Linked DNA regions of Saccharomyces cerevisiae S288C. Changing the gene in region 2 together with the main gene of any one other region gives a genetic interaction. Each region holds a gene or a part of one and is shown on either strand. Other genes may lie near its edges.

What was found.
Region 1: mutations in DAL5 (region 2) and WAR1 together harm fitness more than expected from each alone (negative genetic interaction), as found in Saccharomyces cerevisiae (one large-scale study listed by BioGRID).

Annotation. Positions count from the first base shown.
Region 1 is NC_001145.3:112,013-116,988, reverse strand, and holds WAR1 (War1p), read left to right. Parts: upstream 1-1,641; coding exon 1,642-4,476; downstream 4,477-4,976. Other genes in the region: hydroxymethylglutaryl-CoA reductase (NADPH) HMG1, read left to right, coding at 1-1,255; TRAPP subunit BET5, read right to left, coding at 4,645-4,976. UniProt on the Saccharomyces cerevisiae protein: transcription factor which binds to a weak acid response element (WARE) to mediate stress induction of PDR12 and FUN34, encoding an acid transporter and a putative ammonia transporter, respectively.
Region 2 is NC_001142.9:717,795-722,051, reverse strand, and holds DAL5 (allantoate permease), read right to left. Parts: upstream 2,387-4,257; coding exon 755-2,386; downstream 1-754. UniProt on the Saccharomyces cerevisiae protein: Component of the allantoate transport system.

The DNA.
Region 1 (4,976 bases), on a different chromosome or scaffold from region 2:
AAAATTAGGTGATACTACGAGAGCGGTTGCGGTACGTAGGAAGGCTCTTTCAATTTTGGCAGAAGCTCCTGTATTAGCATCTGATCGTTTACCATATAAAAATTATGACTACGACCGCGTATTTGGCGCTTGTTGTGAAAATGTTATAGGTTACATGCCTTTGCCCGTTGGTGTTATAGGCCCCTTGGTTATCGATGGTACATCTTATCATATACCAATGGCAACTACAGAGGGTTGTTTGGTAGCTTCTGCCATGCGTGGCTGTAAGGCAATCAATGCTGGCGGTGGTGCAACAACTGTTTTAACTAAGGATGGTATGACAAGAGGCCCAGTAGTCCGTTTCCCAACTTTGAAAAGATCTGGTGCCTGTAAGATATGGTTAGACTCAGAAGAGGGACAAAACGCAATTAAAAAAGCTTTTAACTCTACATCAAGATTTGCACGTCTGCAACATATTCAAACTTGTCTAGCAGGAGATTTACTCTTCATGAGATTTAGAACAACTACTGGTGACGCAATGGGTATGAATATGATTTCTAAAGGTGTCGAATACTCATTAAAGCAAATGGTAGAAGAGTATGGCTGGGAAGATATGGAGGTTGTCTCCGTTTCTGGTAACTACTGTACCGACAAAAAACCAGCTGCCATCAACTGGATCGAAGGTCGTGGTAAGAGTGTCGTCGCAGAAGCTACTATTCCTGGTGATGTTGTCAGAAAAGTGTTAAAAAGTGATGTTTCCGCATTGGTTGAGTTGAACATTGCTAAGAATTTGGTTGGATCTGCAATGGCTGGGTCTGTTGGTGGATTTAACGCACATGCAGCTAATTTAGTGACAGCTGTTTTCTTGGCATTAGGACAAGATCCTGCACAAAATGTTGAAAGTTCCAACTGTATAACATTGATGAAAGAAGTGGACGGTGATTTGAGAATTTCCGTATCCATGCCATCCATCGAAGTAGGTACCATCGGTGGTGGTACTGTTCTAGAACCACAAGGTGCCATGTTGGACTTATTAGGTGTAAGAGGCCCGCATGCTACCGCTCCTGGTACCAACGCACGTCAATTAGCAAGAATAGTTGCCTGTGCCGTCTTGGCAGGTGAATTATCCTTATGTGCTGCCCTAGCAGCCGGCCATTTGGTTCAAAGTCATATGACCCACAACAGGAAACCTGCTGAACCAACAAAACCTAACAATTTGGACGCCACTGATATAAATCGTTTGAAAGATGGGTCCGTCACCTGCATTAAATCCTAAACTTAGTCATACGTCATTGGTATTCTCTTGAAAAAGAAGCACAACAGCACCATGTGTTACGTAAAATATTTACTTTATAGTTTGTACGTCATAATTTCTTCCATATTACAAGTTCGTGCATATATAGAAAGAATTCTGTTGTTGTAATTGTCATAACTATTGAGCTTTACCTGAAAATTCAACGAAAAAAACTCAAAAACCACATGCTTCTCTTGAGTCATGCGGTTCCTTTCCCTTATGAGTGAAAATCTTCCTTTTTTAGCTATGTGCGCCATCCGATAAATGTAGGAGCAATGAAGCGGAAAGTCAATTTTTTCATACAGTATACATTAATATCTAGTGTGTATTGACTGTGATCGGGAAGATCTTCAGGGTTGAATTACAACATGGACACGCAGATTGCAATAACTGGCGTTGCCGTCGGGAAAGAAATCAATAATGATAATTCAAAGACCGACCAAAAAGTTTCTTTGCCGAAGGCGGATGTCCCATGCATAGATAAGGCCACACAAACTATTATAGAAGGATGCTCCAAAGATGACCCTAGGCTTTCGTATCCTACAAAACTAGAGACTACTGAAAAGGGGAAGACCAAAAGAAACTCATTTGCTTGTGTATGCTGCCATTCCTTGAAGCAAAAATGTGAGCCTTCTGATGTTAACGATATTTATAGGAAACCTTGTCGAAGGTGTCTGAAACACAAGAAGCTGTGCAAGTTTGATCTTTCAAAAAGGACAAGGAAGAGAAAGCCTAGATCAAGGTCACCCACACCTTTTGAATCGCCGATGGTGAATGTCTCTACTAAAAGCAAAGGCCCAACAGATTCTGAAGAATCTAGCTTGAAGGATGGTACATCTTACCTCGCCAGTTTCCCTTCTGACCCAAACGCTAAACAATTTCCAAACTCTCGGACAGTCTTACCTGGACTTCAACAAAGTTTATCCGATCTTTGGTCAACTTTAAGCCAACCACCCTCATATGGAGCAAGAGAGGCCGAAACCACATCTACCGGAGAGATAACCACCAATAATCATACAAAATCCAATGGCAGTGTGCCCACAAATCCAGCAGTTTTAGCATCTAACGATGAGCATACTAATATTAGTGATGCGCCAGTTATATACAGTACCTACAACTCCCCCGTACCGATTTCATCTGCGCCTACCAGCATTAACAGCGAGGCACTGTTCAAACATAGGCCTAAAATTGTGGGTGATGAGGAAACACAGAACGTCAAAGTGAAAAGACAAAAGAAATCATACTCTAGACATATGACACGGTCGTTCAGGAAGCAGCTACAATCACTGATTATTTCTCAAAAAGGTAAAATTAGAGATATTTCGATGAAGCTTGACACTTGGTCAAAGCAGTGGAATGACCTTGTTGAAAAGAGCATGTTTTTGCCAACCATTGCAGATCCTGTATCAGTAGGAATCATATCTCATGAAGAAGCGACGCTTCGCTTACATCTTTATAAAACCGAGATTTCATATTTGTCAAAATTACCATTCATAAAGGTCGAAGAGAATGTTAGTGTCGATGAATTAAGAAAGAAGAAACCTATTTTATTCTCCGTCATTATGTCATGTGTTTCAATTGTACTAACACCCAAACAAACCACCAGAGGAACTATTATGAAGCTTGATAGTTTTGTACTAAACTTAATTACAAATCAGATTTTCAAGGCTAATAATAAATCTATCGAAATCATCGAATCACTGTCTACATTATGTCTATGGTATAATTTTTTTGAATGGTCAAGTAAAACGAGATACCATATATTTAATTACATCTGTTGCTGTTTAACTAGAGATTTGGGGCCTACCTATGTCAATCGATCCTTTGGTATGTTTAGTGACGAGGATCCAAAGAGATTCAAGTCACCTTTGGAACTTTACAGTAATGGCGCCAGTTTAACTTTATTGGTATACATTTCCGCACTCAATATTTCAATTTTTCTACGTCAATCAATACAAGCTCGTTGGAGTCACGTCACGGAAAAGGCCTGCGAGGATTTAGTTAAAGAGACGAAAAAATCGCGACATTATGACAACGATAAACTATTACTTGATTCAGCTGATGATCCCATCTTGGTTCAATTTGCTAAAATGAACCACGTCTTGGAAAATATTCACACACACCTACATGAGAGAGATCTAAATGATGACGAGTTTGATGATCCTATTTTTACTAAAAAGTATCTTAATAAACTAATGGAAAAATACCACAAGCAATTGCAAGAGATTTTCACTAAACTTGACAGAAACAGGCCAAGAGTGATTGCATTTTATTACTCTGTAGAAGCTTATTTATACCAGTATAAACTTGCAGTATTCATCGGGGAAATGTCGCATACCATAAACGAAAAAGTCGAATTGCCCAGAGAAATAATGGATGATTTTGTTAAATGCTATCATTGCTGTAAATCTGCCCTTGAGGAATTTTCCAAGTTGGAGCCAATTTTAATTACCTCATTACCTTTATTTCATACTTCCAGGATCATATATACCGTTGGTATGCTCTTATTAAAGCTGCGCTATTCCGTAGTCGCTATTCCTTCGTTTCACGATTTAATGCCCCTTACAGATGATGCTATTGCCTTGGTAATAGGGGTAAACAATCTTTTAGAAAAAACATCAGAGCTGTATCCCTTCAACAACTCTCTTTACAAATTTAGGTATGTTATTGCGTTATTTTGTCAAACCTACGCAAACAAAGTTATTGATGTTGCTGATCGCTACAATGCAGAAAGGGAGAAACTAAAGGAAAAGCAGGTCATAGACGAAGTAAGCAATGGCCACGATGGTACGAAGCCAATAAATGCATATGTAACCGAGTCACAAAAGATGCCAACAGAAGAAGATCCAATTATCGACAATAATACAAACCAAAACATAACCGCTGTACCTGATGAAATGCTGCCAGTATACTCAAGAGTTCGTGACGATACTGCCGCAATGAACCTGAATATTAACAGTACTTCATATATGAATGAATCCCCACATGAACACCGAGAGAGTATGACAGGCACAACTCTATTACCACCACCATTTATTTCTAATGATGTGACTAACTCTGCTGACTCAACTAATATAAAACCATCACCTAGTTCATCGGTAGACAACTTGAACGATTATTTGACGGATATAAACTCCTTAGCATGGGGCGTTAATTCATTAAATGACGAGTTTTGGACAGACCTTTTCATGAATGATATTTGAGCCCCCACAACAAAAATTATGACCCAAACCAGATCCGAGTTTGTATTAACAAACAAAGTTTAAAATATGTAAAACTAATTAATTTATCCTTAGGTATATATACGATGAATGCAATTCAATTCATCGCTTCTATTTATTTTAGGTTTTTCTTCTGCTCATGGTTCGTGCTCACTGATTAACCATTGGTGCTAGAAATGACTCGAGAACGGATATAAAGTTTCTATTGGTGATCTTTCTTGTCCCTTGACCTCTCATTTCATTTTCGTTTTCAGCGAAATCGTACGGTGATAATAAGTTGTTGCTCACGTATTTGACATAAATATGGCTGTAAATATACTGTAAAACCTGAGTGTAAGACTGCTGTTTAAAGTCGGACAATAGAACAAACCATAGCCCTGAAGCTGTACAGTATGTGTGGACTCTATACTTTCCTGTAGATATACTCCGTATGTCATTTTTAACAGACCCTTTGGAGAGCTTTTGTGTAATGGAGCGTAACG
Region 2 (4,257 bases):
ATGTTGTATGTCTAATAGCGTGGTAGCCATTTTTAGTCGCCTCCCCAATCCTCCAGTTATATTTGCTTAAATTGATAATTTGTAATTAAACTGGAAGCTATAACGGGGGCATTTCCACTCACAAAAACTCAATGCCCTTTAACCCCTGTACTGCGTTTAACATAACTCGTTTATCACAGGATTATTTTAGGCACAGTAACCGAGTCTTGTCGTAGTAGCGTGATTCTATTCAGTATTGAGAAAATTTCAGCGGTTTTTTAGACCACAATTATGCGTACGCGCGAGATGTATTCTCTTATCTGAACGTACCAACGACCACATATTATTTTCGAAGTTGGACGAGTATAGAGTAGCGCTATATGTCATCTTCACACTACCGTCTTATCTTTTTTTTTTCTTTTTGATCATTGCCACTATCAAAGGGTCGTCAGAATCATTTTCATTACGATATTGTCTTTCTCACCGCCAAATTTAATTTTCAAGTACGGCTGATCAACTTTTTTTTTTCATTTCTCGAGGTATCCTTACCTGTTCCTCGATTCACGTGCTCAGTATCTTGCTCTTCATCGTCAAGTATGTATGAGGCAGGACAAGTCGACTTGTCCTTTACATCAGTCGAGAAATCTTCTACACCAAGAGAATGTAGCTTACAGAAATTCTACTTTGATAAAAAATTCCTTATTTTGATATTAAGTATTTTAGTTTTATATATTCTTCTCTGATAACAATAATGTCAGTGTATCTCACCACTATTTCATAAAGTGTATCTGAAATTTGGATTTTCAAAATCAGTCAAATCAGAAAACTCTAAATTCTCTGTTTCTTCAGGGAACCCTCTCTCGGCAGCTATCTTATCACGTCTCTTGTTTTCCCTTAAATTGACGATGAGCAGTATAGATAGAAGCACGATCATAACAGCATAACATACGACCATAGCGACCTTAGCGCCATGATATTTAGGAGCCTGCTTAGCAATAAAGGTTTGTGGTCCTGCCAAGTTAGCTGCAGCATATGCTACTAAGTTTATTGAAGATACAGTCCATTTTTTACTATATCCCGAGGAATTCGCACTGATATTGGAAAGTACGCAAATAAATGAGACGGGCGAGATGTACCACAGGTAAGCACCAGCCAGTCTTGCTTTTTTGGAGTTTGTTGCAAACCCTAACATGCAGCTAGCAATCAATGCTAAGACAGCTGCAAAAATAGCCCAACTCAACTTATATTTCCAAAATGGTATCTTCTTATTGGCTGCATAAACTGCTAGAATACCAAAAAGTGGACAACCTACCAATTCAACAGCACCTGTAGGTAAACCCATTAATAGGGTTTCCTTTGATGAATATCCAAAATCACTATTCAATAGAATACTCATAAAACTTGAAATACCACCATTAGGAATATTAGAGCTCACAGTAAAGAGGAAATATAACCACGTCCTAACATCCTTCAACGCCTCTATAATTTGGTATTTTTTGATCTCGTGATTACCGAACCCTTGTTGGTTAGACCTAATTCTTTGGACAACCATTAATTTCTCTCTTTTAGATAAAAACCTTGCTTTTGATGGATCGTCAGGGATCCACAGGAATATCAAGATACCAATGAAGATTGTTATCACACCAGTAATGACAAATAAGGTTCTCCAGCCTTTAATAGCATAAGAATCCTGGTGAATGTAAACACCGTACGCAATTGCGTTGATCAGGATGGAGCCAAGACCGTTCATACCAAACCAAATTGATACTCTTGTGAATTGTTCCTCTGTCTTCCAGTATTGAGCAGTGATAATGGTAAAGCAAGGTGTGACAACACTTTCTGCGCAACCTAAAAGTACTCTCAAAACAATGAAAGAAGGATACTTAACTGTTGGAGCTGCATGTAAAGCTAATAACATTCCCCATATGACAATAAAAACCGCAAGCATTTTTGACATGTGACTGGTCCTTTGGAAAATGAACTGTACCGGGCCTAGGTTCATAAATAGATAGCCGAAATAAAAGGCGGAAGTAACCCATGAATACTGGTCACCATGCATTTTCAAGTCAGTTCTTAATCCCATGACCGCCGCTGAACTAGTGGAAATCTTGTCCATAAATTGAACAGCATACAATATACACATCAAAGGAAACATACAATAGTCGATCTTCCAACGAAGTTTTCTATCTTCTTCTGGTGTCACTTCGATTTCTTTGGCTTCTTCAGCCAACTTCATGGCCTCATCAACCTTGTCACTGATGTAGACAATTTTACCGTTGGGTGATAGTACCGTGCTTAGAACTGGCTCCGCGGTTACGTCTTCATTCTTGATTTCAGCTTCTGAAGTGATGTTTAAATTTTTTTCGTCTAGGGAAGCATTCGAATTTGTACTAGCATCCGCTGACATCTTGAATTTTTTTTTTTACACTATTTGATTATCCTTGTTTTGTTGTTTTCTTCAATGTTGTTATGTTAAACCTTTCCCTCATGATCTCCTAATTTGATGTTTCCTTGGTCCATTTATATACATATATTACTTCATCCAATCTGTATATTCGGAAAACCAGATAATGATAAGTATTAGCCGTATCTTCGGAGTTACACTACCACTTAATTGTGTGAGTGATTGGTGATAACGTTCTCTGACATCTTGGCCAAATCTTTTGCCCCGATAATCCACATGATCATAAGGTCGATTGTTATTCGTTTGCTGAATTCCGCACTTCACTCAGACTAACGCGAGGGACTCTTATCGAAAAGGAACAAAGCGTGCGGCAGGAGCGCGCTGTAGCACCTTATCAGCAAATGATAGCTCCTCGAGCATTTGTCAAGTGACTGATGAGAACGCTTCTCTGATATGCATAGATGTTGCGGAAACAATCAGATACTGGGAAAGGACACTCCAGAGTCAGTCATAGGCTGTAAACCTGATTAAGGTGCAATAAGAAAGAAAAATCCGCCGGGATCCACCATGGATATTGTGCTGATGTAAAAGTATTCCTAGATTGTCTTGTTATCAATGTCAAATTCGGTGTTCATTCTGGGTAGTTATTTTGCTGAAGTCAAATTAAGTATTCTGTTTTACTCGGGATGCATTACATCTGCTTTGCGTCATAAAATAAGCATTCAAGCACCACTTTTTGATGTTTTAATGTATTTGCTCATCTCGGCTATATGGTAGAAAGCTTGAAAGTTAAACAGATGTTCATTTTTTCATCCTTACGAATGACCTCTCGTTTATCTAATCTGCTATTACGGTGTACAATAGAAACACACATGTCAAGATATAAACTAACATCCTTATCATAAGAAGAAACTCTGAGCCATCACAATTAGCGGGTAGATTTCTTTTTCCATTAATGTGAGCCAGCACTCTTTATCTTTCGTTATCCTCACTGAAGATATGGTCATCTGTAACGCCCGGATGAAAGAAAGAGAATCGCACTTTCTGTTTGCAATAACATCTTGAAAGTAGTGTTGATGTGAAAGATTGCAAGTATTTCATACCTCAAGTCTTTCTTGCTCCACTTTTTCATGCCAAAATGGGATTTCGTAGATGTTTGTTTATCCACGTCGAATCGTGGCTGTTATTTACTACGTATAGCCTTCCTAGCTTGTAAATAGTTTGAAAATTCCTGACAGAACACTCTTTCTTGCTTTTGCCTATTCTTATGAGCAGCTCTCAGGTACGGACCAGAACGCATAACGATACTTGGTGCTATATTCTCTGAAATATATGATATCTCACACTTAGGGTGCTACACATTTGTCTGAAAACCAACGACGATAAAAGCTATTTAACGTCCATACCAATTTAGCACTATGGGGAAGTGGATGTCTTTTTTTAATCATTTTCATAAATTTTAGGATTTTTTTTTATGAAGTAAACGAATCAAAATTTTTTGTTGATATTCTTTTATTTTTGCGCGAATACAATTACATAAAACTCATCAATTGTTCTCTATTACCTACCCTATTTTTCCCTATCACACGGCCAACGCCGTATACTAACCGTAGTGTGCCATAAAAAGGAATGAACGGGTAAGAACAGGTCATCCCAAACTCGGCGTATTTAATCAGTTCTTCGTGTAATAACACTTTAGGTGAGGGTGATGCTGACAGCGGATGTCAACGGCGAGGCTTGAAAGGATGACAATAAGTTTCTGACTTCGCTAAAGATGTAAATATAGCTTGAGTTATTGACAATAATGGATTAGACAAGAAGATTACATACGTCTCTGATGTTTTACGCAGCGCTGTCATACTCACACGCTTCGG